Drosophila melanogaster: one gene and its partners. The protein of the gene in region 1 interacts with the protein of each later gene in a pairwise test. Each region holds a gene or a part of one and is shown in the gene's direction. Other genes may lie near its edges.

What was found.
Region 2: the proteins of smal (region 1) and Ulp1 interact in a two-hybrid assay, tested with the Drosophila melanogaster proteins (one large-scale study listed by BioGRID).
Region 3: the proteins of smal (region 1) and CG5823 interact in a two-hybrid assay, tested with the Drosophila melanogaster proteins (one large-scale study listed by BioGRID).
Region 4: the proteins of smal (region 1) and ng4 interact in a two-hybrid assay, tested with the Drosophila melanogaster proteins (one large-scale study listed by BioGRID).

Annotation. Positions count from the first base shown.
Region 1 is NT_033779.5:6,175,327-6,183,360, forward strand, and holds the start of smal (smoke alarm), read left to right. Parts: upstream 1-3,806; 5' UTR 3,807-4,373; intron 4,374-8,034.
Region 2 is NC_004354.4:19,200,225-19,210,956, reverse strand, and holds Ulp1 (Ulp1), read left to right. Parts: upstream 1-2,769; 5' UTR 2,770-2,923; intron 2,924-3,164; 5' UTR 3,165-3,197; coding exon 3,198-5,884; intron 5,885-6,020; coding exon 6,021-6,893; intron 6,894-6,965; coding exon 6,966-7,130; intron 7,131-7,189; coding exon 7,190-7,391; intron 7,392-7,470; coding exon 7,471-8,085; 3' UTR 8,086-8,854; downstream 8,855-10,732. Other genes in the region: CG14195 (uncharacterized protein), read left to right, coding at 1-118, 617-1,338, 1,411-1,759, 1,829-2,136; CG7990 (uncharacterized protein), read left to right, coding at 9,353-9,493.
Region 3 is NT_033777.3:17,529,829-17,537,587, reverse strand, and holds CG5823 (uncharacterized protein), read left to right. Parts: upstream 1-3,000; 5' UTR 3,001-3,469; intron 3,470-3,530; 5' UTR 3,531-3,664; coding exon 3,665-3,965; intron 3,966-4,257; coding exon 4,258-4,328; intron 4,329-4,388; coding exon 4,389-4,868; 3' UTR 4,869-5,263; downstream 5,264-7,759. Other genes in the region: l(3)07882 (lethal (3) 07882), read left to right, coding at 1-232, 294-399; P5cr-2 (Pyrroline-5-carboxylate reductase-like 2), read right to left, coding at 741-817, 890-1,555, 1,737-1,815.
Region 4 is NC_004354.4:3,240,249-3,245,801, reverse strand, and holds ng4 (new glue 4), read left to right. Parts: upstream 1-1,581; 5' UTR 1,582-1,613; coding exon 1,614-1,787; 3' UTR 1,788-1,848; downstream 1,849-5,553. Other genes in the region: dnc (dunce), read right to left, coding at 1-729, 948-1,004; ng1 (new glue 1), read right to left, coding at 3,029-3,352; ng3 (new glue 3), read left to right, coding at 3,745-4,185; ng2 (new glue 2), read left to right, coding at 5,268-5,553.

The DNA of each region.
Region 1 (8,034 bases):
CCATCCAAGCCAGATAGATGTGAAATAGCAGTGATCAGCACTTAAGACCTAAAATGAAAAATATAGCAGATATTTTCAAGATTATAGAAGTCCAAACTTCTAACAATTTACTTGATAGTTTTCAGTTCTCATATCCCAATTTATTGGCCGTGAATCACGAGTCCATCTTCATCAGTTCGAAAACAGTATGCCCAGCAGTCATGTTGAAGTTGGGTAAATGTTATAAGTGCTCTATTTTTGCTGCCGGCATCATTTTTGCCATCCCCAGCGCCCATTCAAAGGCATTTTTAATTGGAGATGTATACGGCAGCTTAACGCAACGGATAGCAGTTGCAGTCCGCAGAGCTGGGCAGGGCAGTTGTACCCATACAGCGGAGGAGTAGCTGCCCCACAGAATCCCCGTATTCGGGTTCCAGGCCAAAAATAACCAGAGCGTAGCGGGCCGTATTGAGTCGATAATTGGTAACGCGTCACGTGTAATGCTCTCAAAAGCCAAAAATGGAATTTCTAATTAAGTTTTACAGGGATTTAATATCGACTATCTGCAGATCCCATTACGTCCATCTCCTCATCCTCCACCACTGGCCAGCATCTGGTGTGTACGAACCTTTGGTCAATTAACACATCAACGAGTTAAGAGCAGAAGCCCAGTCCCCAGTCCAGTTGGAGCACAAACTGGCCATCGGTGGGGGCAATTCCACTTACTTGCCAGAACATTTTCCTGCTGCTGCTGCTGCTGTTGCGCTGCAATTGCTGCTGTTGATGCGCTTCGGGGATTAGAAAGTAGTCAAAAGAACTCGGAGATGGATGGACGGGATGGCCACCGGCAGTGTTCTCGCCAGATTGGAGCAGAGTGAGTTATTAAAATCTGCTTAGAAACGTAGTTTATGGAACTTTGCTTGGAAGAGTCCTTCGGCCATTTAGAGTGTGCCCGGAATTAGATTTCAGTTTTGGATCCTCATTTAGTCAGCTGCTTATTTAATGCATGTATTTATGATTTCATTTACTATTTATTTATTTATTTATTGATATCAAAGTACTACTATATAATTCTTGCCAAACCGATATGAACTTTTTTCAGTGCACTCCGTCAATATGATGAATATAGAATCTGAATATGGGCAGGCATCGGCTGTCGAAGTTGGGCCAAGACAAGCTATAGCTGTGGCAGGCAACCCGTCACTCACCCACCCACCCATTCACTTATTCGCTCATTCACCCATTCATTCATTCACTCATTCACCCATTCCCGGGCCATCATTTGCCAAAGCCTCGCAGCAGTAACAATTGATATGCGTGTACGTGAGCTGAATGGCGAGCCTCCTCGCCGGAGGGGCAATTGAATCGATGTGCGCGGAGTGCGGCAGTGGCTCCATTGGGGAGTGGGACGGATTAGGGCAAACTTGTGAGCCAAGTCAGTGGAAACTTTGGCAGTTGGCGGGCGGGGGATTGGACCGAGATGGTAGCCTTAAAGTGTATCAGGCGGAATGGAAAACTTCTGCTCCTGGCCCACTACGACCGACGTTAGAACGCCGTGCGGGAGTTGGGCGGCTGGTTCACTGCTTCCTGCAGGAAACGCCAAATGTGTCGCCCATGTCTATTCTTATCAATTAGCCATTTGTCATTTCCGAGTGCGCAAACAAACGGCCGACAGCCGGAGCATTGCCAACTTCAATCCATAACTCAGTCGCAGTCCGGCAAAAGCCGTTGGGCATGCGCTGTCTGTCAGGCGGCTTGTTCGCCTACCCGGCAGTCAAACAAATCGGCGTATATATATATGGTTATGAACAGGAATTTACACAAAAATGCAATCAGCGCGGCTGATAAATTTACAAACTTCGTCCGAAGAATACAGAGTGGCACGCTGTCGCGTTATCATAAGCAAATACTTACATTGCATGAACGAGGACTCAAGGAACTTATCAGTTCGATTCATGGATACTATCACAGCGTAAACCAAATGGCGTATGTTTGCTTGTTATATTTGGCTATCAGTCCAGATGCATTGGAATGAATTCTTCATCAGGATCAACCGTCGTGTCAACAGCTATCGTTCTTGCACAATAGATAAAATACAGTAATGGGTATCTGATAGAATTTTTAATCTTCGAAAGCAGTCCATCGAGAATGTCAGTATCTATAAATACTTTATGGAGTGGGAAAGGTCTGGGACAATAAACAAATGTGGCAAAAGATACTATGCCAGTATCGCAGCATGGGGTTGATGTATTCACAGAGTCCTTGAAGGCTATGTAAATATTTACTCGTGATAACGCAACATTTGCTTGTTCTATCTATGTATGTATTTTGTATATCTATTAGCAGCGCTGAATGCATTTTTGTGTAAATTCCTGATCATAACCATTTGGCCGCCGCTCATCCGCTCGTCCGCTGATTTCTTTGACTGCCGGGCAGGCGAACAAGCCGTTTGACAGACAGCGCATGCCCAACGGCTTTGGCCGGAATGGGTATGAGTTATGGTTGGAAGTTGGCAATGCTTCTGCTGTCTGCTGTTTGTTTGTACACTCGGATGTGACAAATGGCCAATTGATAGGAACATGCAAAGAGTCTATCGAATAAAACTACGTACAAAGTTAAATTGACTACAAGACAGAATGTTTGATTTGCTGGAGTTGTCCTGTCAATAACATTTACATTAATCTTGCAGAATATTTGTATATATTTTTAAATTAATATCCAATTCATAGCTTTCTGGGTGTCTGTAATCATAAAATAGAAGACAAAAAACATGTTTTTTTTTTTTAACTAAGAAAACAGACAAAGAGACAGAAGAAGTACTGCTTTCATAAACAGTCACCATATATGATACAAATTGGTTACGGTTTCCAGATAACGCCTTTCCAAACGCTGTTCGCTTTTCGATAGGCGATCTGGCCCGGAGCGATATCAGTTGATTAGCGGCGATCCACTCGAGGAATTCGTTGTGGGCCCCTCGAAATTGTGTCACCGAGTCAAACATTCGAAAGTGGCGAAGAACAAAGGGTCGGATCAACTGGTGAGACCAATCAATCAACCCACAACCTCTGCGATACAATCTACAAGTGCGTAGCTATAAATCCCCATGCCCCACGAAAACCGTAGAGTTCGTAAATCATACATGTCCATATGATATGGTGCACCAATGTGACAAGATCGCATTTCTCTGCTGGAAATTATGACAAGTTGTATGTGCGATTTCGGCTTAATGCCGGCGTCAATCATTGGAAATTCATCAGAGGCCGCGATTGGCGGCGGTCCGCCATTTCCAATTTGGACTGCAAGGCGGATTCGCCGGAAAAAGCGAGCGAAAGGAAAAGTCGGGGAGGGTAAAAACAAATCAACAGTTCGAATTCGCTCTTGTTTTGTTCCACATTCGCCGCAGACGGAAATCTCTTATACGAGCCGGAAGAGAGCGGAAAAACTCTATCGGATTTGGAGTTTCTCGGCGATTTTCACAGAGCACAGGTGAAGTGCCTGGGCCTGGGCAGGTAAATTCAACTCCATTGTGGATAATTTTACTGAGAATTGAAAAACTTAGTTTTTAGCGCAGCATATACAATATAAACTATACTGTAGCTTAAATGATAAGTTTTAAGGAAACAAAAACATAGAAACAACTCCAAATTATGATTTAAATGTTAATTTGATAATATAAATCCTTGCAGGTCCTTTACAGCGCTCTCCACACATAAACTTTGTAAACAGTTCCACCGACGAGCGAACAGAGTCCACAAAAGAGAAGCGCTCGCTCTCTTAGCATCCACACTTACATGCAACGGAGTGGTGCGCTGCACGTTACATTCAATCGGATTCAATCGCTCGTCGACCTTCGTGCCGCGCGTTACAAGAGTCGCAGTCGCTGTCGCAGTCCGCCGTCTCAGTCTCAGTTTGTGCCCCCAGTCTCAATCCAGCTCTCGTGACAAGAAGAACAGAACGCCTTGGCCACTGGCAACGCGGTCGCGAATCAACGCAGTTACCCATCTCAGGCTTAATCGGCTGGCAGCCAATCGCCAAGAGATCCGACAGATACGGATACGCAATCCGCGCAGCGCGAGTGCAGAGATACGAATTGGTCAGGAATAAGATACGGTGCAAGTGGCACCCAAGATGCGGCAATTGTGCACCTGCGGCCGCCAGCAGCGTGCGGCAAAGTGTGTGAAATGTGCTACCTGAGAAAATGCCCACGGAGTGCTCAAACATATCGAAACAAACCAGCAGATAGAGTATCTTTTGCTGCCCCAGTGAACAACAGTGCTTGAAATTTTAGTAGAGAAATCGTTGTTTTTTGCTACAAACTAAAGTGCAAACGGAATACAATCAATATACACCTTAAGTCAACGCAAAGGCTAATTCAAAACTCTTGGAATATTTAGGTGAGTTGAGAGTGAAGAAAGGCCTAACTTGAAAACAATCAGTGCTCAATGCTCAAAGCAATCATGTCAATAAACAGGATTTCCCCATAGAGACTTTGCAATGCATAAATAAATATTGAGTTGCAAACAATCAATTAGTGCGACAAAAACAAGTTTATGTCAATTACTAACTAAATAATTCATTTATCCGAAAAGAAACCAGAAGAATATTGGCCCAATCAAATGTATCTCATCAAGGCGCATTCCAGAGATCAAAAGATATCATTTCCAACCCGTTCTCCCCATTTCTTACGGTGGCTGTCCCCTTGCCTCATTAATTAAACACAAATTAAGAAAGAGCCAAGCTGTCAACATCTGGGGCTAATCAAACTAACCTGCTGTATTTTATAAATAAGAAGCGAAGAAGAAAAGCGGCGGCAGGTCGTAAAACGCTAAGATACTGCCCTTATCTCCTAAAGAAAGATCTTTCTCCGAACACTTTGTGCCTCCGACGGCTGTTGCACACAGATTCTTATCTCGCAGATGCAGTTATGTATCTAGATATTCCGCAGTACAACCTCAACCTCGAGTCTTTGGCAACTTCACACTCCGCTAGACGCGCAACGAGGCCCCTGGATTTCATAATTTTCCCGCTGTTCTGCGGGGTAATTAAGTAGAAGTATGTTTGGCAATTAAAGTTCCAGAGACCTCGCTTTCGCTTTTTCCCCCCGCAATCATCAGCTTTTGTAAATAACTCGAGTTATTTTTCTTGCTCACTTGGGATGGTTTAGAAATTTAAGATTGAGATTGGGCATCCGATGGGTAGCGATTACCGCGAGCTGCGAAGATGCAGCCGCAATCGCGCATGCATAATTAATTTCGTGTAAAAATCATAATTACACCAATTAAAATTTGTGTAAACAAGTTGGCAGCAGGCGGGCGAGTCCCTCAATCTGCCCCAAGCGCCGTTTGGGGCGCAATCATTATGATAATACCGCTGAAAAAACTTTTCGTGGTCGATTGCGAGGGGAACTCTTTATTGCCATTGTAGAAAAAGTTGGTGGGCCCAGGCGGAATTGAGTTGGCTATATTATGGTAATGAGACGTTTGAGTATGCCTCCAATGAACAACAGATTTGCCGCAGATTTGCCCAATCTGCTTTAAACTGCGCCTAAAACCCATAATTCGATGTGCGTGAAAGAATTTAAAGCACCGAAGTTCATAGATGCATCCACATAGCTACCATTAACAGGTTGTATTCAATATTTTATTCAAATCTAACTAAAATACTAAGACAGCAAAGTGATAAAATTGATTAGCAATGAAATTATGAAATGCAATAATCGCTAGTTTTATTTCATTGCCACTGAATCCGAAAAATACGTTATTCATTCAAACGTTGCGTTGAATAAAATGTGAAATATGTTTGTGGAATTAAAAAAGGTGTATAAAACTATATTTATAAATATACAAAGTGTGCAGCTTGGAAATTCATGGGAATTATTATGAATTTATTTTGTACATAAACACACATCTCTTTCATTTACCTGCAACCATCTACCAACGAAATGAAAATGTGTATCTCAATTTTTGGGGGGAAAATATTTTCTTTTGTCAGCTGGGATTACGATGGAAATGGGGCAACAATATTTACCATGTTCTTCTGCAATTTTAATAAGGATCCATTTAAACAGCATTGATTAAACTTTGTTTTCATTAAAATCTAAACAAAGCCCATTCATGCAATGTCAAAAATAAATAATAAAATGTCTAATTAGACCATTAAATCCGATGGCAATATAACAGCCAGCTAGTCGCATTTGAACTATTTAAGTTTAATTTGAAATGCCAAGGTATATTTCTTCTTTAAATAAGTAAAATTCCACCGACGTGCGGCAATTTATATTAGTGTCTTCTTCAACGAATTCAACTTCCATTTAACCTCATTCTGTACACATCGCATCCCCCAGGTCATTTTTCAGGGGCTGGCAAACACAACAGTCAACAAAATTTATACCCAAGAAGTGTCATTCTCGTGTGCATTTCGGGCTTTTTTTTTGCCGCTGGTTCGACGAGATCGTGTCGCTGCCCACATGGCTGCCACCGAATTGCTGGCGGAGACTCCAACTCCTCCGCGTCCCCTAATTAATTAGCATCTAACTAAGAATAATGTTTCCTGCGGCCCTCGACTGTCATAACTTGGCCGCAAGTTTATTTGTTTGGCTCGCCAACCGAAGGCGGCGCACAAAAGACATAGCCACCATTCCGTGAGATACAGATACAAGTACACAGATACAGATACAGATACGGGGGAAAACTGGAGGCACAGATGCCAAGACGGCGCACAGGTGCCACATTTTCTTCGATTGCAGGGGTATAAATGCCGCCAGGAGCACTAATTCGTGGCTGCCACTCCGCATTTTTGTTTGTTAGTTTCGTTTGGCTGGGTTTTTATGGCCAGTGTTGGTTTTTTTTTTTAGTTTTTATACACTGGCGTTCTTGTGTTAACTTGTAAAATAATTACTGACGCCGTTGTCTAGTACTTGTGAGAAAAAAAACGTTGAGTGTTTCGGCAGCTCAAAGTGCCCATAAATATCCGCATCCGCAGCTGAGAATTTCCAATGAAATGATTTCAAATGAAATGACTTGGCGCCAGCTCCATTCCCTTAAAATCTGTTATGTGCTTGCCACATTTGTTGTTTCGTCTTGGAAGCTCAGAGACCTCAACTTGAGGTTTTCAGCAGTTTCGTTTCCTTTTGGGTTTTTGCTCTGCTGCGGCGCTTAATTAGTTCAGAAAAAGTTGAGTGCGTTAAAGTATCTCGAATATTTCAAGCTGTCAGGAGTTTGGCGATTGGACAGCAAGGAGGAAAGCTGATGGAAAGAAATTGAAATGGAATTTAATGGTAATTGCTGGGAATGGACGATAGATTGTGGCTGGATCAAAGTTGCCCTCTGTGGTTCTCAACCCAGTATCTTCGATCCAGATAGCGTTCTCACACTTTCCCTTTCAGCCAAACAGCCAAACTCACGAGCGAACCCTTTTCCTCAAGTCGGACCACACATCCATTAAGATTTCCTGCTTGGCTTCCTTTCGATAGTGGTGACCCTTATCTGGGCCCCTTCTGAACACATTCTCCTCCTACTCCTATATATATTTTATGCAAATGTCACCGGGTGTGCCCCCTAGATGTGCCTTCTACGGCGAGGATTTCGTCGAGCTAATTAAGTTTCGGTTACAGTTCACTGCGCAAAACGGCGATCGCTGCATATGAAATGTGTATTTGAAATACTGAATTGGCCCTCTGATGCGCGGCGGAAATGAATCGCCGCTCATCAACTTGACGACGAATTCCCGCATGTGTGATCACTGAATAGGGCAGTCTTATATGCATTATGAGAGGCCTGTGTCTCCCCGTCGATTTGTCGGAGTCACTGAAGCAAGTCGCTGCCGTTTGCTCATCTCGAAAATATACATCGTCGATTGCGGACATGGATCCATCCAAACATTATACGCATCACAAGACAATGTAGCGTCATTAGCCCTGCCTTGGACCCAGCCCTATTTCCACTTCCAGTTTCTCGGTGCAAACAAAAAAAGAAACGCAAGGCAGCCCAACCCACAGAACCACCGAACCACCGAAATGCGGGAGGTCTCAGCTCAGATACAAATGATTTGGCTCGG
Region 2 (10,732 bases), on another chromosome or scaffold:
GCCACGCTCATTGCCTGCGTATCGCTGATGGTCAGCGGGATCCTGTTCTCCTCCGCCTGGATCGTGGTCACAACCACCACACAGGTGGTAGCTATTGTCTTCTACGGATTCTTTGCAGGTAAGTTACCTGGGATTCAGTCATCCGTAACAAGTTGGGGCTAATCATCTGTCATCTGCAATCTCAAGTCCAAAAAGGCGGGAAGCCTTTTGTACAGTTGTGCTTATAAACATAGTTGTGCCTGCGGAGTTTATTATTTGTGACAGCACTTTTAAAAGAAAGTTTAGGATATTTTTCATACTTATTCAAATAAAACGACAGCTTCGTTGTGATAATAAGTCGCTTATCGTATACCCAATATATCACATATCACGTATATATATATATTAGTGGGTGTCATTATTACACTGCACGCCTTATCAGTCCGATTTTGTTTATGTATTCAAATATAAATGGAATTCAATAATTTCATAGTTCTATGCCGCAAGGAGTTCGATTAAAGAATCAATGATGTTAAACTGTGCCCAAACTAAAGTTAAACTTAAGTTCGACAGAATTTTTTATTTTCAAAGCGGAAAAGCGACAAATTTAACACAACATTCTATCGCCTTGTCCAAGGTATCGGCTCCAGCTTGTACCTGTGGAAGACGCACGTCATTCTGGAGGCAGTGCGTCCGCGGGAGGACAAGTACGTCCGCAAGACGATCCACCTGTGCGGCGAGGCCTTCTGCCAGCTGTTCCTCTCGTTCGTGTTCACCAGCCTGCGCACCTTGTACGGCACCGCCCAGTCCATCGTACTGATGTCCGCCCTGCTGGTGAACCTCATCCCGCTGAGCCTGATCATTACCAAGCATCGCGAGGATGCCTTCACCACGAAGCGGATATCGGTGATCAAGGCGGAAACGGGATTCGCTGCACTGCCGCTGCGAGCCGCACTGGCGGCCAACTTGGTGGCGGACCAGCTGGACGGATTGGACACGCTCTCATGGCGGAATCCGGCCACCACCGAAATGGCCACGCCCAGTGGTGCCGTCGCCGCCGCTGTGGTGGTGGACACGCACAGCAACTACATGCTGGCCACCGATGAGGCGTATGTGACGTATGTGAATCCCAACGGGGTGGAGATTATGGAGATCATACCCGAGGAGGACGAGACGGTGTCCATGATGCGGTCGAGCAATGCGACCATCGACAATTATGCCATGTCCGCCTCGCAGATGTCGCACAAGTCCCTGTCCAATGGACGTCTCTATCCACTGACGCCCCAGCATCCTTTGGGCACAGGAACGGGAACTGGTACAGGTAGCTCCTCACCCCTACCTCCCGATTATGCCAACCTGGTGAGTAGTGCGCAGGCTTTGTGGAATATGGTGACCGGATGTGAAACCTTTCCGTATGCTCCTCATTTTCAGCGCCGCATCCGGCGGATGTCGCGTGCGGTAACCACGCACCTGTGGTGGAATCTGCTGGACAAGATCGCCATGCCGCTGCAGCAGGCGCTGCTGGTGCCGCAGCTGTACGCCACCACGCTGCTCCTCTCGGCGGACATCTTTAGCTACGTGATGTGCCTGACGGTGCTACCCGGACTGGCGGTCAGCCACCATGCGCTGAAGAACGCCGAGATCCCGTTCCTCTTCTCGCTGCTGGCCTTCCCATGGATGTGCTTCTCCCTGATGACTCCGCGCTTCGGCACGAGCCTCTATAAGCGGAAGCTCCAGTGGCACACGCTGGGCAGCATCTGCAAGTGCCTGGCGCTGATCTGTGAGTCATGATACCCGTTTCAAGCTTTCCCCGGGCCATCAATAGATCCATCTTTTGTTTCGCTTCCAGTCATCAGCTTCTCCACCTCCAAGCTGCTGCTCAGTGTGTCCGCCGTGCTGCTGGGATTTGGCCAGGTGGTGACCGCCTTTCTGCAGGAGCTGGTCTTCCAGATGGGCATGACGCGGGCCAACTGGACGGCCATCCGCCGTCCGGTGCACTTCACCAACGGCCTGCTGGTTCTCCTCTGGGGCGCGCTGGCCCACTGGGTGGTGGAGCGGTACTCCTTCCAGGCCACCGTGGGACTGGCCGGCGCCCTTTACGGAACTACCACGCTGCTCTGGAACTTCCTCTTCTTCTGCTGCCAGAGCAAGGATTGAGGGACTGAAGAATTCGCGCACTCTCACACAACAAGGCATCGTGTATGTGTGTGTGTGTGTGTGCTGCTGTGGCTGACGTTGTTGTTGTATTTGTGCAGTGATATTAATAAATAAATATATAAACTATAAGCAAGCTACATACATTTTAACATAAGTCTTAAAAGTCTTATTACGTCAATTTGAAAAAAGAATGGAATGCTGGCCTTTAAAATATCCCTAAAGAACTGCTACAGAAGTAGCTATAGCCTTTTAGCTATTTTTCCATTAAGCTGTGCTGACTACTGTACTTTGGAAATGTGGACAGTTTTTTTCCGATTAAAATAAGTTTAAAAGTATAAAATGTTGCGTTCATTCTAGAGATTGGTTCAATTTTTTAGAAATCTGTCGCACACTAAAAAAAATGCATGTTCTTACAAAATTCGCTGTGTAAGAAATATTGAAAATATTGAAATATTATTGGAAAATATTGACGAAAAATTTCCCTTTTCACCGAATTTGTCGTATTTTTACAGTAAGACTAAATGCCGTTATTTCCTCAGATATTTCTAGGTAATTACATTCGCTGCGTGACGAAAGCTGCCTGCTATGATGCGGCAGCCAGACCCAACACTGTTGGCCGATATCGATTGGTTTGGTATTATAGAGCAATATCTTGTACGGTCATACTAAGGCACCAGTACGCCAAAACCGAAATTTTCTTTCTTTACTCAATTTTCATCGAGCTAAGTTGCGAAAATTTTCTCAAGTCACAGTGAAAAGTGTACATTGTTTAAAACCTGGCCAAGGGGTAAGTGTTTGTTGCAAGGCGCTTGTGGTGTGGCACTCAGTGCGGTGCAATAGCAGCGTCGGCATTTTCCGGCGGCCGCAGAAGTGGCACCAAGCAAAGACGGCGAAAAACAGCGAAAAATGCGCAAAATCGGGCTTCCTTTTTGCCGGCTCGTTTTCCTTTTTTGCTTATTCTTCTTCTTGCGATTCTTGAAAGCGAATGCGTGTGGAAAAATAATTTCTGATTAAATTTCAATTTGCAGCTAAAAGTAGCGAAAGCGGTAGCGAACACACGCATGTCGCTGCCTCCCGAGGACACCGATTTGTCCACAAATTCCGCATACGAATCCGCACTCCAAATCGCGAGCAATGTGTCGGCAGCACGAGTAGTCGGTTCGGCAGTAGGACAGCGATTTTCGCCGTCGCCAGCAGCTCACCCGAACGTGATTGAGCGCGTCGCGTCTCATGTGGACTCACGCCGCAGCACGTTTCCAAGTTGGGGTAATCCGTCAGTAGCGCCAAGAGGATCGGAAGAAGCAGCAGCCAACGCCACAGCAACACAACTCCTATGGGCGGAGAACCAAGGTCTCCCGACATCGCACTTATTGCCAACTGAACAGGCATTCGAGACATTGAACACTAATGCGTATTGTTCCCCGCCAGGGGATTCACGATTTACGTTCCCTAGCCAGAACTACTCGCCGCTGCTGCCGCGGTGTGTCCCAGTTCCGAATCAGCGTTACTCTCCAGATGGATCGCCAATACATCAACTCCATGAGCTGCAAAATTGTCCATTGATAGATTCGCCGATAAGACTGCGATTTCCATCCCCCTTGCCAGAACCACCATCACTACCGACCATCACCCTTACAGTTGATGCCCTGATCGATCTTGACCAAAACAACCAGGTCGCATATTATGTCCAGCAGTACAACAATCAGCCAGTCCTATATCAACAAAACATTCATATAGGAACGGGAATCCAACTATGCGATCAGGCCTCCGAGAATAATCAACCGATTATATTACATATCGTGGAGCACAATCCCCAGACTATAACTGAGAGCCAGGAGCAATTCCACCAGGTTGTCCCCGAAATTCAAATCAATAATATCCAGGAGCAAGATCAGAAATTTGAAAATGGCATCTCGGAACAAAATCATCCGATTGCAACTGAGGCTCAGGATCAGACTTTAACTGAGATCCGGGATGAAAACCAGATTGTCCTTGCAGTCCAAGAAAAAAATCTCACGCGTGCCTCTGAGATTCAGGACCAGAACCAACAGACATTAACCGAGATCCCAGAGAAATGTCTTCAGATTGCATCTCCTGTCACTACTGATATACAGGTACAAAGTCCTCAGGTTGTAATAGAGATCCAGGAGCAAAATCACCAGTCTGTAACGGAGATCCAGGAGGAAGTTCACCAGACTGCCCCCGAAATCCAAGTGAACGTTTTCCAGACCTCGTCTGATATTCAAGGGCAAAATCACCAGATTGTAACTGAAGAGCAAAATCATCAGACTATAACCGAGACCCAGGAGGATTACTCGGCTGTCTCCGAAATCCAATGGGAAAATCTCTCGTTTTCTGCTGAGATTCAGGAGCAAAACCAGCAGATCGTAACCGAAGTTACGAAGCTTGCATCTCCTTCTGTTACTGATATACAGGCACAAAGTCCTCAGTCCGTAATCGAGATCCAGGATGACGATGATGAAGATCTAAAGTTCGAATCTGATGATCTGCACACTATACCTGAAATCCAGGAGAAAAACCAACAAAGTCCTCAGTTCGTAATCGAGATCCATTATGATAATGAAGATCTAAAGTTCGCATCTGATAATCAGGAGCAAGATCAACAAACAGCCGAGCTCCAAAAGGAAAGGTTCCAGTTCGCATCTGAAATCGAGAAGCGAGATCTGCAGATTGTTACTGACACTCACAAACAAAATTATCACAATGTAACCGACATCCCGTTCGCAACATACATCCAGGAGGAAAACGAGCAGTTAACACCGGAAGACCAAGAGGAAGATCAACATTACCTGAATTTTGAGGGGAACCAACAATTCCAGCTCCAGAAGCAAGATCAGCTGAGTGTACCACAGATCCAGAAGCAAACCCACCAGTTCGAATCTAAGGTCAAAAAGAGAAAGTTGCAGCCCTTTTCTGAATACCAGCAGAAAGGTCAGAAAGATCATATCCAAGAGAGGCAGTATATTCAGCAGGAATTCACCATCCACTCTAACCAGGCTTATTCTAAGGTCCAGTATATACAAACTATACAAACTGCGACTCCGTACGTACCTCAATTGGAAATATCCCAGGAAAACAGTTTTGAGGTTCAACCAGCATACGAGGTAAACGAAGGCCAACGGGACAGAGAACTGGTTAGTTACACAGGCCACGAGCATCAGAACTTTGTTGATGAGGTCTCGACACCATTACCGCCCGCTGAAGCTCAACCAGGATCTACTTCAGAAGATATATCAGACCCCGTTTCACCTGAACATTGGGAGCAGCTAGAGTCACTCGATCCGAGCACTATTTGTATTCGCAAAACCTTCAATCTAATTCGCGATATCTCTGAAAGTCTGGTGGCCGATCCAGAGCAACCCGAAGCCGAAGCCCACCGGAAGTCAATTTTCCTTCTCCGCCAGAAGCTAGCCGATGTGTGCCATAAGGTTCTAACCGAAATTATACACGGCCGGGCCACCGATGAGATCATCTCCATTCTGAGAGAGATTCTCGAGCAAACTAAGGAAATACCTCCACGCCCCACGCCGAAAAGAGACCTCCAAGAAGACATTTCGATGGGCTTAGAAATATTAAAAAAGATCCGTGGTATGCTATCCGGTTGGTATTCTTCCAGAGAAAGCGAAACGGACTCCACGGATACCGGAACGGGATTCCAGGCTCAAAACGGAAAAGGTTTTGGTGCCGGCCGCCAGCCGGAAAATAGTTTTTTATCCCAGAAAAGACGGTAAGCATTAAGAATTTTATGTTATTTTTAATTTTGTTTACCTAAATCCAACTAGGTAAGCCTGCGCAACAATTTTATGTCATTCATTGCTACTCCCATGTAAAAATTTCAATTAATGTTTTTTCTCTACTTTCAGCAACCAAGAAGAGAACCCTCGTCTGATCAAGTACCGGCGTGTGGACAACAGCTTTCCCCGCTTGATAACGAATGAGACGGCCGAGGACCTGATTCCCAACAATTCGATGGCCAAGCGGGATCAGCCCCAGAGCTCAAAGCGGCTCTCAATATTTAATCCGCCGGTATACACGCAGCACCGAGTGCGCAATGATGCCCCCCACGTACCTACGCCATTTGACGATGAGGAGTCGTCACAGAGACTTGCTAACGCGGGCCCATCATCCAGGCCCATGACTTACTCGGATGCGGTGCGTCTAGGCCATAATGGCATCTCCGAGTCGCGCGTAAATGGGCACTCCAGCCATACGGTGCGCAGAGAACCGTCTCGGCTGCACAGAAGCATTCTGTCCCACGAGATGAACTGCAAGGATCAAGAGCAGTATAACGAACTTATCCGTACCCAAACAAATTACGTGGGCAGTCGCTACCTCAAGCCGGGTACCCCGCCAACGTTTCAGCGGGCTAAAGCCCAGTCGGCAACCAGTAGCAGCTGCTCACTGCAAGACAACCAATCGAATATAACAGATTCGTTCCCGTCGCCACATGGCCGTGCGAACCCTGAGCTAACGGAGTACGCCAAATTGATCAACCGCCAGGAGAATGAGGAGAACAGGTCTCCGGCACCACAGCAGCCAAAGCGAAACGCTAGCAATAGCTCTGCCAGCCATGCGTCCACTATTTCCAGCAGCGCATCTTCCTCCTGCAGCACTTGTTCAACTTGCTCATCTTCTGACACTGAGCCAATGTTGGTTAAAGATAGCCCGGAGGTCAAGGAAGCCAACGAAGCCAACGAGGCCAACGAAGCCAACGAAGCCAACGAAACCAAGGAAAAGTAAATAAATGCTTTATATCCAAACGTAAATAATTTGCAATAATCAAAAATCCTGATTTTATCACCAATTAGTGACGCACCTCAACCTACAACTACCAGAATCAAGAAACCAGACTTCTTGCACCGTCGCTTTGCCAACTGTATCTTTCTAAGGAATGACTTTGCGGAAAATTTCAAAGCAAGAGCGAATCGCCGGCAACTTGAATCCATGCATCTTCTTGGAATAGCTGAACAGCAGTAAGTATTTGTAACGCTATAATTAGGCCCAGTACCAAGAGGCTTTTTTCCAATTTTAGGGCTAATGAAAGCAAAGATGAACGCCTTGCCTATGAAAAAAAGCTGCGGGAAGTCATGTTCCGGTCTGGTGCTCCCCACCGGCCCTTTTTTGAAATCGGGCCCCTGGAACAGCCGGAAGAGAAGAAAGAGACCAAGCTCATTCCGCTAACAAAGGAGGACCACGCTCGCTTTCAAGAAATGACAACTATTGAGGTTACGACGGTAAACGAATATATTTATTTATTTATATGTGTACCCATTTAAAACGTTTATATGCTTGCGCTTTAAAATCTTATTTCAGAACTTAATTTTCAAATATAACCTACAAATAACTACCGACGACATATTCACGTTTGTTGATGGCGAATGGCTTAACGACGCGATCATCAACTTTTACATGTCCATGCTGACGGAACGCTCGGAGAAGCGAGCTGGCGAACTTCCCGCCACTTACGCCATGAACACATTCTTCATGCCCCGTCTCCTGCAAGCTGGGTATGCAGGCGTTAGGCGCTGGACTCGCAAAGTGGACTTGTTCAGCAAGGACATAATACCGGTGCCAGTGCACTGCGGCAACGTCCACTGGTGCATGGCCATCATACACTTGCGTAACAAGACAATCTTCTATTACGACTCAATGGGAAGACCAAACCAACCGGCGCTTGATGCTCTAGTTAAATATCTGCACGAAGAGTCACTAGACAAGCGCAAACAGCCGTTTGATATGACCGGTTTCGTTGTCGAGAACGCGCAGAATATACCACGTCAAGGGAATAGCAGCGATTGCGGTGTCTTCAGCTGCATGTTCGCCGAGTATATAACGCGTGATGTTCCGATTACCTTCTCCCAGGCGGAAATGTTGTACTTCCGCACGAAGATGGCCCTGGAAATCGCCGACGGAAAGTTGTGGCAGTAGGGGTTCAAGCACAAAACTACGCAAAAATGGAGAATTCAGTTCTTTACTTATTTTTACAAATCTTACGTAAACACTCCAAGCATGAATTCGCGACAAGTACTTAGCCATCGAACGAACTCGTTTATTCGATAGAATCGAGATGGCTGAGACCCCTGCTGGTGCATTAACTTGTTCTCATATCTGATTGTAAAAGAGAATCTATTTCTTCAATAAAATGTCACCAAGTAAAAGCGATGCGAATAAGGATGTATTAATCGCCGAATATCTTCAAGTTTATAATTAATATTTAGAATACAGCAAGCTATGAATATGTACTAATGTAATGTAATGTACTGCTCTAATCCTAACTCTAAACTAGGAATTACTGGATTTCATATTTTTTTCTTACATTGTCTTTTCTGTTTCATATCGTTAAGTTGAAAAGATCAGAGCCGCTGATAATTGAAAATCATACTAATACTCCAGTTTATTTTTGAATTTATCGGTTTTTTTTTTTTTAAAGAAAATGTCGCTATATTCCTATAAATTAGATAATATTAATAAGGAATCAATCTTAATTTAGTATTTTTGAAAATGTAGCTTATTCAAGCAAATACTTATTATACAAATATAGGTAAATGTGGGTTAATGGTATTAGTTTTGTTTTTGTAAAGATTTTCTCTAACCCTTAGGAAGTAGTACACCTTTCATAACCTAAGGTACATAATGTAATATAATTTATTTTTGCAGAGCGAACTAAACAGAAATATATATTAAACAAAAAATATATGAAAATTCTATGATGCTTTTCAAATCATCCACAGGGAGGAGGATGCAACAAAAGGGGCCAAAGTTGTGACAATTCAAGTTGTTTATTCTAATCTCGAAAAAAGACTTGATTGTTTAGCTTTTTCTGTCTTATATCAAAATTTCGAAATAGATATGCCTGATGCCCGCTAAGGTCGAGCGATCAGTGTGACCCTGCCAACAAAGCATAACGGTAATAACAAAAGCTAACGGTATATCGCCAGTGTGGACATGCCACCCCAGACGGGCAGTGCGACCAGGCCGCGCAAGAAAGCAGCCACTGGGAACACGGCCCGCGGATTAGCAGCAGTTGCGAGAGAGGCGCGCGCGCGGTCACAACTGGGCGACGGCAGCGATTGGGGCATGCAAATTATGCCAAATAGCACCATCGACGGGAGCACGAGCACGAGAAGCAGCAGCAGCAACAGCAACGCCACAGCCAAAGTCATCGCCAGCGTCAACGCCGACAACCGAGCACAGAATGCAGCAGAGCACCGGAGCGGCGACGTCATCCGCAGCAGATAGCGGGATGGGGGCGACGGACCTGGTGTCCAGGTGCGTTGGCGACGGCGGGGGAGGTGGCGGGAACAGCTGCTCCGGCGGATCCAGCGACCCAGCAGCGGTGAGAGGCGTTTTTCCATGGAGTTGCCCAATTTTGTTGCTTTCCACTTTTTCTTCTTGTTCTTTTTTTTTTTTAAGTGTTCGTGCGAACCAGTGTGTGTATTTATGGTTTGTTTGGCCTGGCCAAAAATTATATAACTTTAAGCGGAGGCAGCGCACGCTTAGTGACACCCCCAAACCCTCCTCCTCCTTATCATCCTCCACCATCACCCATTTCACCCCGCTGCTCAGCAAAAAGCGTTGTAAACGCGCACAACAACTGTGTGTGTCCGTGTGTACATGTGTGTGTGTGTGTGGGCGAACGTTTTATTTTCCATGCTCCTCCTCGGCTCGTTTGTTGTAATTTTCCGCAGTCAGCGCGCATGCCACCCCCCTGCTACCCCCTCCCACCATCCCACAACACTTTTCACACCGAAAATATTTTCAAATTAGTCCAGAAATCCAGAAATGCTAAAAGCCATTTTTGCAACAAAATAAAATGAAACCAAATTTAGCACACAGAATCAGTGGATTTAAAAACAATCACAAGTACATATTTTTACTCCACCAGTTATTCCGTAAGGCTAAGTAATCAAGCTAATAATATTCCTTTCGAAACCACAATTCTCTCTTTAAAGCCGAAAGAAAGCTTACCACTTACAGGAATAGAGGTGTTCCACAAATGGCTAACTTGCTGAAACTCAAAAGTTTATTGGATAACCAATAAGTACATATAATGCCATACAGAATAGAATTGATATTTGAGAATCCCTGTAAATGTATCGTAAACTGCATGAAATAACGGATGAATCTTTTTGAACTGCAAATACTTGATTTGTAAACCCAGCTAAGTTCTAGAAGTTTGGAAAATATTGAGCTAATGAAAAATATTCTCCGTGCATTTCTGCTACACGTTTTCGCATTTATTTAGTTTTTCTCGCTGGCTTGCCTAATTTTCGAAATGCGTGTATTTACACAGGCGGCGCTTGTTTGTTTGTTTCTCGTTTTAATCATTTATTCGATTTCGCCATGTCCTTGCGAACCACCCAACCACCCAACCACCCACCTTTGGCCCAGTTTCTTGGCGAGCTTCGAGCTGCTCGCTTCCGGTGTCCCGATTCAATCGCAGCACATATTTAATTTCATTTCTGACGCCCGGCCAATTTCCCATTAACTTGAGCTAATTAATTTTGGCCAGCTGCCGTTGGTAATAATGGTTACGTCAGGCGAGGCTCGTCTATTTTTGGTCCTTAATCCTTTG
Region 3 (7,759 bases), on another chromosome or scaffold:
AGAAAATGAAACCCTTGGCTCCGGCGGAAAAGAAACCCAAGGCTCTTAGGCTGCTGGAACCTCGATTCGAGGCGGTTTACGATGACAAACGTCGTCCCAAGATGTCCAAGGCCAAGGAAGAGCGGGCCAAACTGCTGCACAAGATCAAGCGCGAGAAGAAGGGTGCCATTCGAGAAATACGCAGAGATACGTCCTTCGTTCAGATGCTTAGGCTCAAACAGACCCTGCAAAGGTTTGTGTTCCATTTACAATTTAACCGTTCCTTTCTAATCTATTGTATTTCATATCCACAGTGACAAGGAGCGCCACGAGAAGGTTAAGCGCATTTACCAGGAGGCATCCGTGCAACAGGGCGAGCTCAATGAGCTGTCCCGGGCCAAAAAGAAGAAGAAGTTCTAGGCTCGACTTTGAATTAGTTATTTTTAGCTAGACTATAAACAAAGCTGAGAGTAAAGAATATAGCAGTGTTGCTTATATTTTAGTATCACGAAATCGGCCTTCACAGTTTTTATAGTTATGCAAAGCTACTAACCCAGATTAAGCACAAGGGTGGGTCGATTAAAATGAAACATCTCATCATTGCTCTTTGAAAGCACTATAGCACCAACATACATTTCCAAATTAAAAACATGTTTCTTCAAGAAGCAACAAAATTTAACGACTTCCTTTAACTACTATAACTTTAATAACAAAATTGACCCACCCCAATGTACGTATATGTATATGATAATCCTATGTGCCTACTTCGTCTTTCCCGAGATTTGCCGGCATCGCAGAGTCGCCTGTTCCACCGCTCCAGACACCGCAGCCCGAAAACCTGCAATCGACATCAAAGGTTGAAGTGGCGGCGATAAGCGAGTGCGTCATCGGCGTCATCATCCCAACTTACCTGACAGCTCGAGTTGTCTGAGTGCCGCTGCTGTCGATCCCGCCGGACTTGTGACCCCATCCTTGAGTTGTCCGGGATGCATACCACTGTCCCGCACCATGTGACCTGCGCCCAGGACTGTTTGCGATGCCAAACGATAGGCCAGATCCCTGGGCATGCCCATGTGAACGGCTCCATCCGCCAAGGCCTCAATCATCACGAATACATAGGCCGGTCCACTTCCGCTCAGAGCAGTAACCACATCCAACTGGGACTCATCCACCGGCTCACAAGTGCCCACGGACTGCAGCAGCTTCTGGGTAATATCCGCATCTGCATCTGTGGCCTTGGATCCGCGAACGAAAACCGAACAACCGGAACACACGACAGCCGGCAGATTGGGCATCACACGGATGACGCGAGCTTGTGGAGATAAACTGGACTCGATGGTGGACAAAGTGATGCCCATGGCCACGGAAAGGAATAGTTTGCCCGAGCTCAATGGCTGAATCTCCGACAAAACCGAGGGAACCACTTGGGGTTTCACGGACACGAAGACCACATCCGATTGCTGCACAACGGGTGCATTCTTGATCACTGTTTCCACTCCCAGGGATTGAAAGGACTGCAGGGAGAGCTTATCTGCCGGATGGACGCTGGCTATCAGGGTATTGGGTTTGGCCAGGCCTAGGAAATGAATTAGGAAATTTGGCGATTATATGATGAAATCCTTAACGTCCTATCCTTTTGTATCTAATTATAAGATGATGTTAGTTCATATATATATTGCATATCCAAGTGTGTCTTATCTATTGTCTAGCACAAAGTATGTCAGACTACAAATCTATTTTATTAGTGGCTTTCTCACCGGCCGCTAGGAAACCCTTAGCCAAAGCCTTGGCCATATTCCCGCCTCCCAGGAATCCGATCTTTCCGATTGCCGACATTAGTTAATGGGTTAAAAAGTCCGCGGACTGTGAGTACTGAACTTTCTGCTGGTGGAACGGCAACTGTGCGCCCGCCGCCGGCGTTGACCAAAAACAGACGCGAGGATTGATAAGAAATCTTGCCCGGCCAACCCCCTCCCAATCCCCTGCGTTGAGGGAACAACACACCCAGCGATCTGAGCTTATCATTGAGGTTCCTATGTGTGGGTTCGGCAATCGACAGCGGGGCAAAATAATAATAAATACTAAGAACTTTTCACACATTGTAAATAAAGAAAACATTAAACTATTAATAGTGCTGTTTTACAATCGAATTATATTTGAATAAAAATAGTCATTAAAATCCACTTAAGATAGAGACAAATTTTTAATAGATCATAAATTACAACCCATTATTTAAAGTGAAGTTATTATGATTTCAGCTTATATAACAATCAATTATAATATTGATTGATAATATTGATTATATATAATATGTAGTTTAAAATACAGTTCAAGTGCCGCGATTGCTAATATTTTGCCCGCCGTTGTATTTCCTTATCATTTAGAACAACTGTCATCCGCAACTCATTCACCCATTAATCGGCGTGACGAAGTCCAAATTAATGCGAGATGCCGATGCCCTGTAATCCCTGTAATCGTGCGTTGATCCACTTTCGTGTTTTGGATTCCATTTCTATAAATTTCTATATAGCTGTACTCTTTGGCAATCCTTACTTACCAAGTTTCAAAAACATTCCGCACTTTAAGAGATAACAATCGTTATCAATGTGAGCGTGATAACAGTAGAGGCGATATACACATGCTTATTTGTAAAGGGCTACATTAGAAAACCAAAGTATTTACTTTGTATATTACAAAATATTGCCATAGGGATTTTGGGACATACCCGGGTATACTAGATACGTTGGAAAGTAGATACCGCCTAGTAAGCAATTTTCGAAAAGAGTTCTTTCTTCTTTTTATCATATCTCGCATTAAGTAACGGGTATTTGATAGTCCAGCAAATCGGCTAAAACTAAAAGATCTATATTTACTGTTTTCAAAGAATTGCACAGATTTGAGAGTCAGTTAATTAGCGGATACATACACCACTCCATCCAATTTTCTCACCGTATGCAGCAAAGTTTCCCTCCTTCACCACGTGGTGAGGAAGCCAACATAGACTCTGGTAACACTAAACTGGAGATGAAACTTACTTCCGCACACGGTACCACTAAACTCTTCATGCCAAAATAAAAGATTAAATTAAGATATTGCCAGCTCCAAACCCGGATATATAACCCCACAAGTGATTAATACGAATTAGGGGCATCCACTGTAGCGGAGTAAGCTCGTGATACTACCAAAATTTACCAAAGTCAAGCCCTAGTTGTCCCCTACACGTGTGTGAGTGTGTGTGTGCGGGTGTCGGTCGTGTGCGCCTGTATATGTGCGTTGTTTTCTCACTCAATTTCATTGCAATTTAAAAAAAAATCAACAAAAACGCAGTAACAGCAGCAACAACAATTAGAAAACGCACTTGTTACCGAGGTTGGCTGCCAGTACTAGAAAAGCAAACAATAAACAACCGAGCTGGCGAGACTGAAATCCATCGCATGATAAACACACCGAACAAGAATCTTCGACAGCTTCGAAATTCTGGAGAAGGACGGTACGTATTGGTATTTATGCGACCAGATACGAGTATAATTGATTTGCAAATTATTCCACAGGGCCACGTCGCTATCTTATCTGCTACAGTGAGAGAAAAACCAGTAGGCCAGTCGTGTTCGATCATAGTTTAGGTTTTCAAACTTGGGCGGTAGTAATTAAGTTCGTTAAAAATTAGCAAAACCAAAACAACACCATGTCCTCGTCGTCGACGTCCGGCGGCCGGAAGCAACCCACTGCTGTGTCGCGCATGAAGCAGGACTATATGCGCCTCAAGCGGGATCCCCTGCCGTACATAACCGCCGAGCCGCTGCCCAACAACATCCTCGAGTGGCACTACTGCGTCAAGGGGCCGGAGGACTCGCCCTACTACGGCGGCTACTACCACGGCACCCTGCTCTTTCCGCGCGAGTTCCCATTCAAGCCGCCATCCATCTACATGCTGACGCCGAACGGTCGCTTCAAGACCAACACCAGACTGTGTTTGAGTATATCAGGTATGTGTCAGTTCCATATCCGTAGGAGTCCGAATCCACAGCTAGAAATAAAGCGGATTGGTTGTCACAGTAGTAGAACATTAAAGAATGGGTAGTAACTACAGGCTTAAAGACTACCATTAACTTTGAACGCTGAATAGTTTTAGTTATGTTTGACGAAGCCGATGGACTTTGTGGCTTAGTCAAACATGTTTTTTGCGACCTTTCAAATAGATATTCGTGTATCTGTTTAGATCTGTTTAGATTCTATTGTTCCAAACATATAACTTATCAACCCTATTGGGATTTTCAGATTTTCATCCGGACACTTGGAACCCGACTTGGTGCGTAGGCACCATTCTCACTGGACTGCTGAGCTTCATGGTGAGTTATTACGAATACATGATCATACGTTTGAGTAAGCCAATCTTAAATCCTTCACAGCTGGAGAGCACACCCACACTCGGATCCATCGAATCATCGAACTATGACAAGCAAATGTTTGCTCAAAAATCACTAGCATTTAACCTGCGCAACACCAACTTCTGTGAGCTGTTTCCGGAGATAGTCGAAGAGATCAAGCAGCGGCTGCGAGGAACACAGGCGGCAGCTGCTGTGGACGGACCCGCTGCCAATGGAGTAAAGCGTTCCAACGGACTGGCCAACGGAGCGAGCCTGGCATCTGCGGATGGCAATCTGGCGGTGGGCGGCTTGGCCAATCCACTGAATGCAGCGGACGCAATCGATGGCGGGGCGGCGGGTCAGGCGGATTTGGCCAGCGGCGGAGGAGCGGCGGTCCAGAATAGTGCACGGAACTCCTATCTAAACTGGCAGTCCGTCTATTCAAACCTGGTGATCATTATCTGCTTTGCAATTTTTGCCCTCATTGTTAATTACGTGATCAAGAACCTGAATCAGGAATAGAATTACCGACACAGCCTCTATATTTATATAAAGAAATAGTTACACATCCGTATGCGTGTGCATATCTAATCTAGTTTACTTTAAAATAGTCTTCGTGGATTGTATACCGCTTGAGAAGTATTTACATACCCCGCTTGATTCAAAAACAACCGCACTAGACCCCCGGCATCCATTCCCACGATTCCCACGATTGCTGACTTAGTCTGAAAATTATCGGCAGCAAAATTTGAAAACACAAGAACACACAATTCAGAACTCGACTTGTGAAATTTAAAAATTGTTTTGTTATGTATTCATTACTATTAACGCCTAGTTTAATGCAACGTGAATAATGCCAGAAATATGTTTGTAAATGAATAAAGAAGCCCGGCAACATATGAGCTCGTGTACAAATTAACCAATATATGTGTGCGTTTCTTGATTATTAAATGGATCTTCATTTTCAGTCGCCACAAATTGCTTGGATGTTGGATGATTCAACTTGTATAATAAGTTGTAATTTGTAGTTGGCTTTTCGCTGGCTAAGCGGCTTAAGTATGAAGCAAAGTCCGCTGGCAGTCGGCAATAATTTTTCCTCACACTAGCTAAGTACGGCCAAATCCAATAAACTGATGCCTGGCTGGGCAACAATGTTACACATTTAAACCGCTTACATTGTTGGCCATCTTAAGCCGAAATTACACACATGACGCTTATTACTCCTGGAAGTGGGCGTTGCGGACCAAGTTCGATGGTTACAGTGAATTGTGGTTACCACAATCTATGTCTTTGAAGTAAAAACAATCTATGTCTTTGAAGTAAAAACTACAGAATAATACTATGATTTTTTTTTAAAACTATCTATAACCAGTATATATATTTATACGATATATTCGCTTTGTAGGAATATTTTATAGATTTAAAGTCGTTTTAATAGTTTTCCAGGAAAATAAAATACTTGCTGAACAATAACAGATTTATAGAGAAGAGAGTTTAGAATTATTAGAAAATTCGGGAAAAGAAAATCCGATTACCCAGCAGACGCGGCAAACTCCTTTAAAATAAAAGGACGCAGCGACGACTTTGTTTTGCACAGAAAGTTTTTTTGGCCAGACGCTGAAGTTGATAATTTAACTAACGTAAATTTCAAGTTCAGGCAGCATGGCAAAGTTTCCGACTGCGGCTGGCACTCGCAACTTTTCAAATTTGGTTGTTTGTTTTATGAACTTGCAACAGTTTAAGCCAATTTCGGCTGCACTGAGGGAGAAAACCACCAGAAGATACACAACATTAAATGATATCCCGGATGGCCAAAGAGTCCAAGACACACAGACCCCATAACCGAGACATTTCTGGTCCTGTCATCGAGTATTTTTATGCGGGCTGCCGATGGGCGGGGATTTCGGAATCGCTTGTGCTTTTTGCTCGAAATTTATTTTGAGTACCCACCAGGATGGCAACTGGCGTCTAAGTCCGAAGTGTCTCCTGCACTTCCGCCTTATCCTTTTGATGCTCGGGCGGATGTGCAATTTTTGCTCATTTGTTCTTGGCATTTATAAGCTTCAGTTTGCCCGAAAAGAGGTCACTGGCATTGTGGGTCCAAGGAGTTCATTGTTCGCCGCCGAGCTGAAATCCCCAAAATGTGCCAGGCTTAAATGTCCAACAAATAGCTGCAGGACATTAGTTGACGGCAATAAATGTCGATGCTCCCGGGCTAAGCGGCTTATCCACAGCAAATATAAATATGCGCGAGTAAGCTTGCGAAAACAAAACACAAATGGAGTGGTCAACGGCTATTCGATGCGATGGCCACAAGGGGAAGTCGGCCCAACGGGGCTATAAAAATAATGACCAAAACAAAACCAAGTGCCCACGGCCAAGACGGAAGGCCAGATAAATAAATGTAAATAAATAAAAAAACAAATGCCATAATCATTAAGTACGCCTCATTGGCGGACATGTGCCCCGAAGTTCCTGGCCATCTGGAGCTGCCTTTATGCGTTCCGTTCTGCACAGGAGAAAAATAAATAATGGCAAAAATATATAGGGTTTCAATATATGGAGAGCCCATTAATACGTAGCTGATTTCAGAACCAAATTTTATTAATATAATATAGGGTATATCTTACGGATATAAAAAGCAAACACTTAATATTAATTAAATGGTCATATTAAAATATGTTAATGTTAATATGTTAAAATTTGAAATTGGTGTTTAAATAATGTCTTACTTTATATTTCTCATTTTTTTTTCTCAGTGTCATGTGACTTGACCAACCAGGGGTCGTAAATGTTACACATCCGCACACAGAAAACCCACACAATCGCAGGCCAATGCGCATATAAATGAAATGTTTGTTAAATTATGTGGGCAATATACGTTTATGCCTGTGTCAGTGTGCGCAATAAACGATAAAGCATAAACTTAATATGCAAAGGCCACGCGAAAATAGCAACAGCCGAAATGTATGCTATGTTTTCCCTTTCGCGTGTGGGCGACTGTGTGTGTGTGTGTGTGTGTGTGCGCAGGCATATGAGCATTCGCTTTATCAATGCATAAACAAATGGACATCAGCTGCGAGTTATGGCAGGATTGCCTAAGCGAAAGGGCAAGTGGGGTTAGACGGAAAAAGGACCTCATAAGTCTGGTGAAATTTAAAAATAATTAGTCTAGGGATAGAGTGAAAATTAAGTTAGATTTTGGTATTCATTTATGTAAAGTACACTTTACTTACCCTAGTCAAACTTTCCCTGCTCTAGTACCTTTGTTATTATTATAATTTATATGAATTTAGGAAATTTAGGATTGCAAGTGGAATTATTTATATATGCATTATTACATTTTATGTGTTACAACTGGGTTTTTAACAAAGTTAAATAATTCAAGCGCTCGTTAGCCATTGAGTAAGTAA
Region 4 (5,553 bases), on another chromosome or scaffold:
AAAATGTGGTTGTGATTGCAAGAGTGGTTGCTGCAGCTGCTGCTGCTGCTGCTGCTGCTGCTGCACCACCGCGGTGGGTGAGACACTGGCGTCGCTCAGTGTTTCTGGTTCCGCTCGGCGGGCAACCAGACCGCTGGCCAAACTGGCGGCCGCTATATCCGCCGCACTCAGTTGCTGGTCCAGCTCCTCGTCGACGTCGTTGATCAGGGTCTTTAGGGAAATCGGGGTGGTCACCGATGTATCGATGGTGTCTGCCAGCGAATGCTTTTTCGTACCGCCGCCGGCGCCGCCGTATAGATCCAGCTCAGATCCGGATACGGTGCGGTTCAGCAGATCGTCCTCCTTGTTGTTCCGCTCCAGTAAGTCGCGCTTTTGCTCCGCGGACTTTTCCAGATTACAATCCTCCGGAATGACCTTGAGCTCGTCCGGCGTCTGGGCTGGTGTTTGGGGCGGACTTGTGGCGGGGGCTGCGGAGCCGCCCCCGCGACAAGGGAGGCAACACCGAAACACTGTGCCACCGAAGCACTTTGTTCTTGCCTTTGATTTCCGCTTGCCACTCCCACTGCCACTCCCGCTGCCACACCCACCGCCGCCGCTGCCACTCCCACCGCCCCCTCCAACGCCGCCAGTGGCTGCCAGGCCGTTGGCACTGCAGCTGCCACCTAATCCCTGGCCGTTTCCGGTCCCGCTTCCGTTTCCGGTGCCGTTGCTACTGCCACTGCCGCGATGCTAAAAATGCAGAGAAACCAAATACTTATATCAATATAAATTTCCTTTTTTTTTCTATCATATTCAAGAGTGGTTTAGTCACAAAATATACAATTCTTCATCTACACATGATTTGGCCTTTAAACGTGTTCTATTGTATATTTCTTGGCAAGAACCAAAGTTTAAAAATTGAAAAAGAGCATATAAACGGCTGTTTTGAAGCCCATTTCCCCCACCACCTTGGCCACATTCTTGTTAAACGAGAAACCCTGCGTAAATCGCGCCAATCGCATCATTCCCACTTCGGTTGGGAGCTATCTGTTGCGCGAAAACATTTTTTTTTTCTATCAAGCCGAGATCTGTAAAGAAAGAATGGAGAAAAAAGCGAATTAGGAAACAGTTGCTACAAATATAATTTATTCTAAATAAGAAATATTTTAAAGATTTTAAATAACTAAGTACCTACTATACCTTACTCTATATACATATACATCCACTTCCTTAACTGCAATTCTCGCTCAAATAGTTTCTTTATGACAATTTTGTTTAATATTCCGTTAAGTTTTACATTCCCCGACGCATTTCTATGTCAATTAGCGTTTAAATTCGCATTTCGACTTGGCCATAGCGCTTGGCCACTTACTTTCCCCCATTTTCGATTCTTTTTTTTTTTTCGCCCGCCTGAAAGTATTCCACCTGGCGGCTGGCTGTGCGGATGAAAGTGGGTTAGTCACATATTTGAGCTTGTACAGGGACAGACGCCAGCTGCACAAACTGACCCACATCCTGGCTGTGTGGCTATATAGCTATATGGCTATATGGAAGCTTTATACACTTTAGCTTCCCCTTAATTAGTACTTCGTCGGTCATCGCAGAAACCGCTGTTATTTTGGGCGAGAGAGATAATGGAATGGAAACTGCTGCTAATAGTCCTGCCCTGGCTGCTCGTATGTAAAATTTTTTATAAGGTCGAGGACTTTACGGAGCCTGATGTCGCTTACCAAAGCATTGACTATCATCCCGAGGACTACATCGATTCCTTCACCGACTTTCAGAAGCATGACTACTTTCAGTATTGAGAGTATGCTGGTGTTTCCTTTTTGTTTAATTTTTTTTTTTGTTTGTTAAAAAGTCTTGAATAAAGCGTTGTGTATGTTGAATATTAATTAAGCGAATATATCTATGATAAACTAATGGGCAAAATTGGAACGTCATGTTGAAAAACATGATCTTGCTCAAGTTTGGTTTGCATTTATCTGTGCGTTCAAATTAAAAAATCTCAAGTTAAGTAATCAAATTGAAAACATAATTAAAGGGTAAATATTAATCAATGGCTTTAAAACGTAAATATTAATCGTTGGATTTAAAGGGTAAATAATCAATGGATTTAAAACGTAAAGATTAATCGTAAATATTAATCAAACAATTGTTTAGCAAAAACATGATCCTATCATCAGCCTATTATTATTTAAACAGACTTGTGGGAAAGACCAAAATGGTCATAGACTGGGTTATTATAGAAAATAATTGTACAGACCAGCTAAATTTATACGACGCCACATAGACAAAACATCTTTGAACAAGTGAAAGAGAAAGTTCGCATACATTTTTGCATTTAAATATAATCAAGCAAAAATATTCAAATATTTAAACAATTGACAGAAAACCCATTTGCAATGGTTCAAATATACAATAGTATTCAATTGTAGACGACGCCAGTTGACCTCGAAAACATAGCAATCTTTATTGCTTACCAAAATTTTTGCATTCGGATATTTGCGAAGTCCAAACATGAATGCTACATAAGCTAAGGTAAACAAATTAAGCATTATACGTTTTAAGTTAATCTCTATTTTTTGTTTGTTCAAGAGACAAAAGCAGCACAAAACACAGCTTTTTTTTTGTAGCACACTTTTGCGGGATGATTGTTTATTAAAGCTTTCATTTTATAAGTGAGAAAAGTTACTAACCTAAATGATATATGAGCGAAAGATCATACAATTCTTAGAATTTTGAAAATGCAACTATGATCAGCCGTAATATTACTAAATAAATACATATAATTAACACAAACTTTTTCAACTACTGATAACTTTACATTCAGTCAATCTGTCAACCAAAAAAAAAAAAACATTTTAAACTGATTTGAAAAAATGCAGAAATTCAACATGAGAAATACTATTTCATTGATTTATATATTTGCCTTATAAACGAACAATATTGCTATTTCATTATAAACTATTCAAAAGTTAAGTGCTATGGTTGTCATTGGGTTCAGCATTGGGATTGGAGTGGATTTCCTATTGGTCCTGTGGATCTTTCATTCATCGGATCTGCGACCATTGCGGCTCCTGAGACCCCTTCTCCTTGTGATTTTCCTGACCTTCTTTGGCCTCTTGACCTTTCGCTTATAGTGAGTGACAGTCTTCTTTTTTGAGCTCGAGGAAGGTGAGGCTGTTGTTGTGGTGGCCGAAGCGGAAGTGGTGGTGGTGGCCGAAGCGGAAGTAGTGGTGGTCGCCGAAGCGGAAGTAGTGGTAGTGGCCGAGGCGGAGGTGGACGTGGTGGTTGTGGACGCCTCCGACTCGTGGATCATCACACAGCCGAGGAAGGTGGCGAGAAGTACGAGTACCACGGTGATCTTCATGGTGAGCAAATGCTACAATAGATGCCTTGCTACTGATGCTGTCTTGAAGAACGAAAGCCAGCTTTTATAGTAGTCTTCTCAACTGGGTTTATCCTCTTTTGCAAATTTTTGTCAACAGTTTTGGCCAAAACAAAGGGAGCGTTTTTGCAGAACAAAAAACCCGCAAGTTTGTCAATTGTTCATTGTGCCCAATTGTTCAAACAGTCAAGTAAGTTAAGTGCAAATATATAATATAACTTTTAAGAAATGCCCAATTATGTATGTCCAATTTATATTCGCTACGCAAAAGATATGAAAGATTTTGTTACGTAATTGCTTAACTGTGGTAATTAGTATAAAAGACCACGGCCTCTGGCTGCAGACATCAGTTGTCCAGCCACTGGCCATCCAACATGCGCTACTCCTGTGTTCTTTTACTTCTGGCCACCGTTGCCTGTCTGCTAATCCCACAGACAGGTGGCTCCACGGCCACCACAACCTCAACTTCTGCTTCGGCTACCACCACCACTTCCGCCTCGGCCACGACAACCACTGCGTCGGATACAACTACTACCACAGCGGCTACCACAACCACTTCGTCCTCCTCCTCAAAGAGTAAAAAGAAGAAGAGGACGTATCACTATACACGTCATGTTTATAGGCCAAAGCGGATACGACATATCTATAGGCACAAGGCCGACGACGACGAAAGCTCTACCGATCGCACCAGCACACGCAGCCGTCGTCGTCGCCGCAGCAGTAGCAGCAGTAGCAGCAGTGGCAGCACCAGTAGCCGCAGTGGTAACAGTCGCATCCGCCGCAGGAGAGCCCGAAGTGCCCGACGCCTGTCTTAGTGACCACATCTTGTACAACAAACCAACTGATCTGATCGTGACGCCTTTGAAAATGTAGTTTTTCTTTTTGGTTTTCTTTTTTCCGTTCAAAACACTTAAGGCAAATAAAATGAATATTTCGATATTAGTTCATTCTGCTTATCAATGCCGCTTAAAGCATTTACTTATGCTTTTACTTATGCATTTACTTTACAAAACAGATCGAGATAAGAAGCATCACTTGTTGTTTAAAGTGTATGTCAAGTTCGTTACAACGTATAATTAACCATTGAAATTTTGATCAAATAGTTACTTTCAGAAAAAATATAAAGGGCATACTCCTACAATAAATGCTATATATTATAATCTTAAGTATTATTATCTACCCCAGACGTTATTTAATATAGTTAATAATAGCGCTTTCCTAAGCTACGTACACAATGTGTTTGTTTGTCTATAATTCAGACAAGCTACAAATGAAAGTAAACAATTTATGGCAAAATCATTTTAATTGGTTAATATTTTTCCATTATTTGCTTAAGAGAATAAGTTTAAAGCTGATGTGTTCCGTGTTTTAAAAGCCGTAGTATACTTTTTAGGGGAAATTATTTAAGTGGCAGAATATATAGTTGAATATAGTATAGTATATAGTATATATATAGTAAAGAATCTATATATATAGTATAGTATATAAAGTTGAATTTTTCTGCAGTTTTTACAATGCGTTTATCGTATATAGATTTAACCTAAGTCATTTGCATTTATTTAAAAACCAAGTAACGGTTGACAAAACTAGACTTCCGTTGGCATTAGTGGCTTAAGTGATTTTTATAATAACAGTTAATAAATTTTCGCAAAATGACAAGCTCCATACAAAAATAGATTATCATGCCTCTTGTACATGTGCAAATTTTATCTGTTTAAACAATTGTGCCAATACGAAAAATAGCGAATTTTTGTTTGGCCAAAAATAACATCTTTTCTTTGGCTGACACAGTTTGGCCGAAGAGGATAAACCCAGTAGAGAAGACTACTATAAAAGCTGGCTTTCGTTCTTCAAGACAGCATCAGTAGCAAGGCATCTATTGTAGCATTTGCTCACCATGAAGATCACCGTGGTACTCGTACTTCTCGCCACCTTCCTCGGCTGTGTGATGATCCACGAGTCGGAGGCGTCCACAACCACCACGTCCACCTCCGCCTCGGCCACTACCACTACTTCCGCTTCGGCGACCACCACTACTTCCGCTTCGGCCACCACCACCACTTCCGCTTCGGCCACCACAACAACAGCCTCACCTTCCTCGAGCTCAAAAAAGAAGACTGTCACTCACTATAAGCGAAAGGTCAAGAGGCCAAAGAAGGTCAGGAAAATCACAAGGAGAAGGG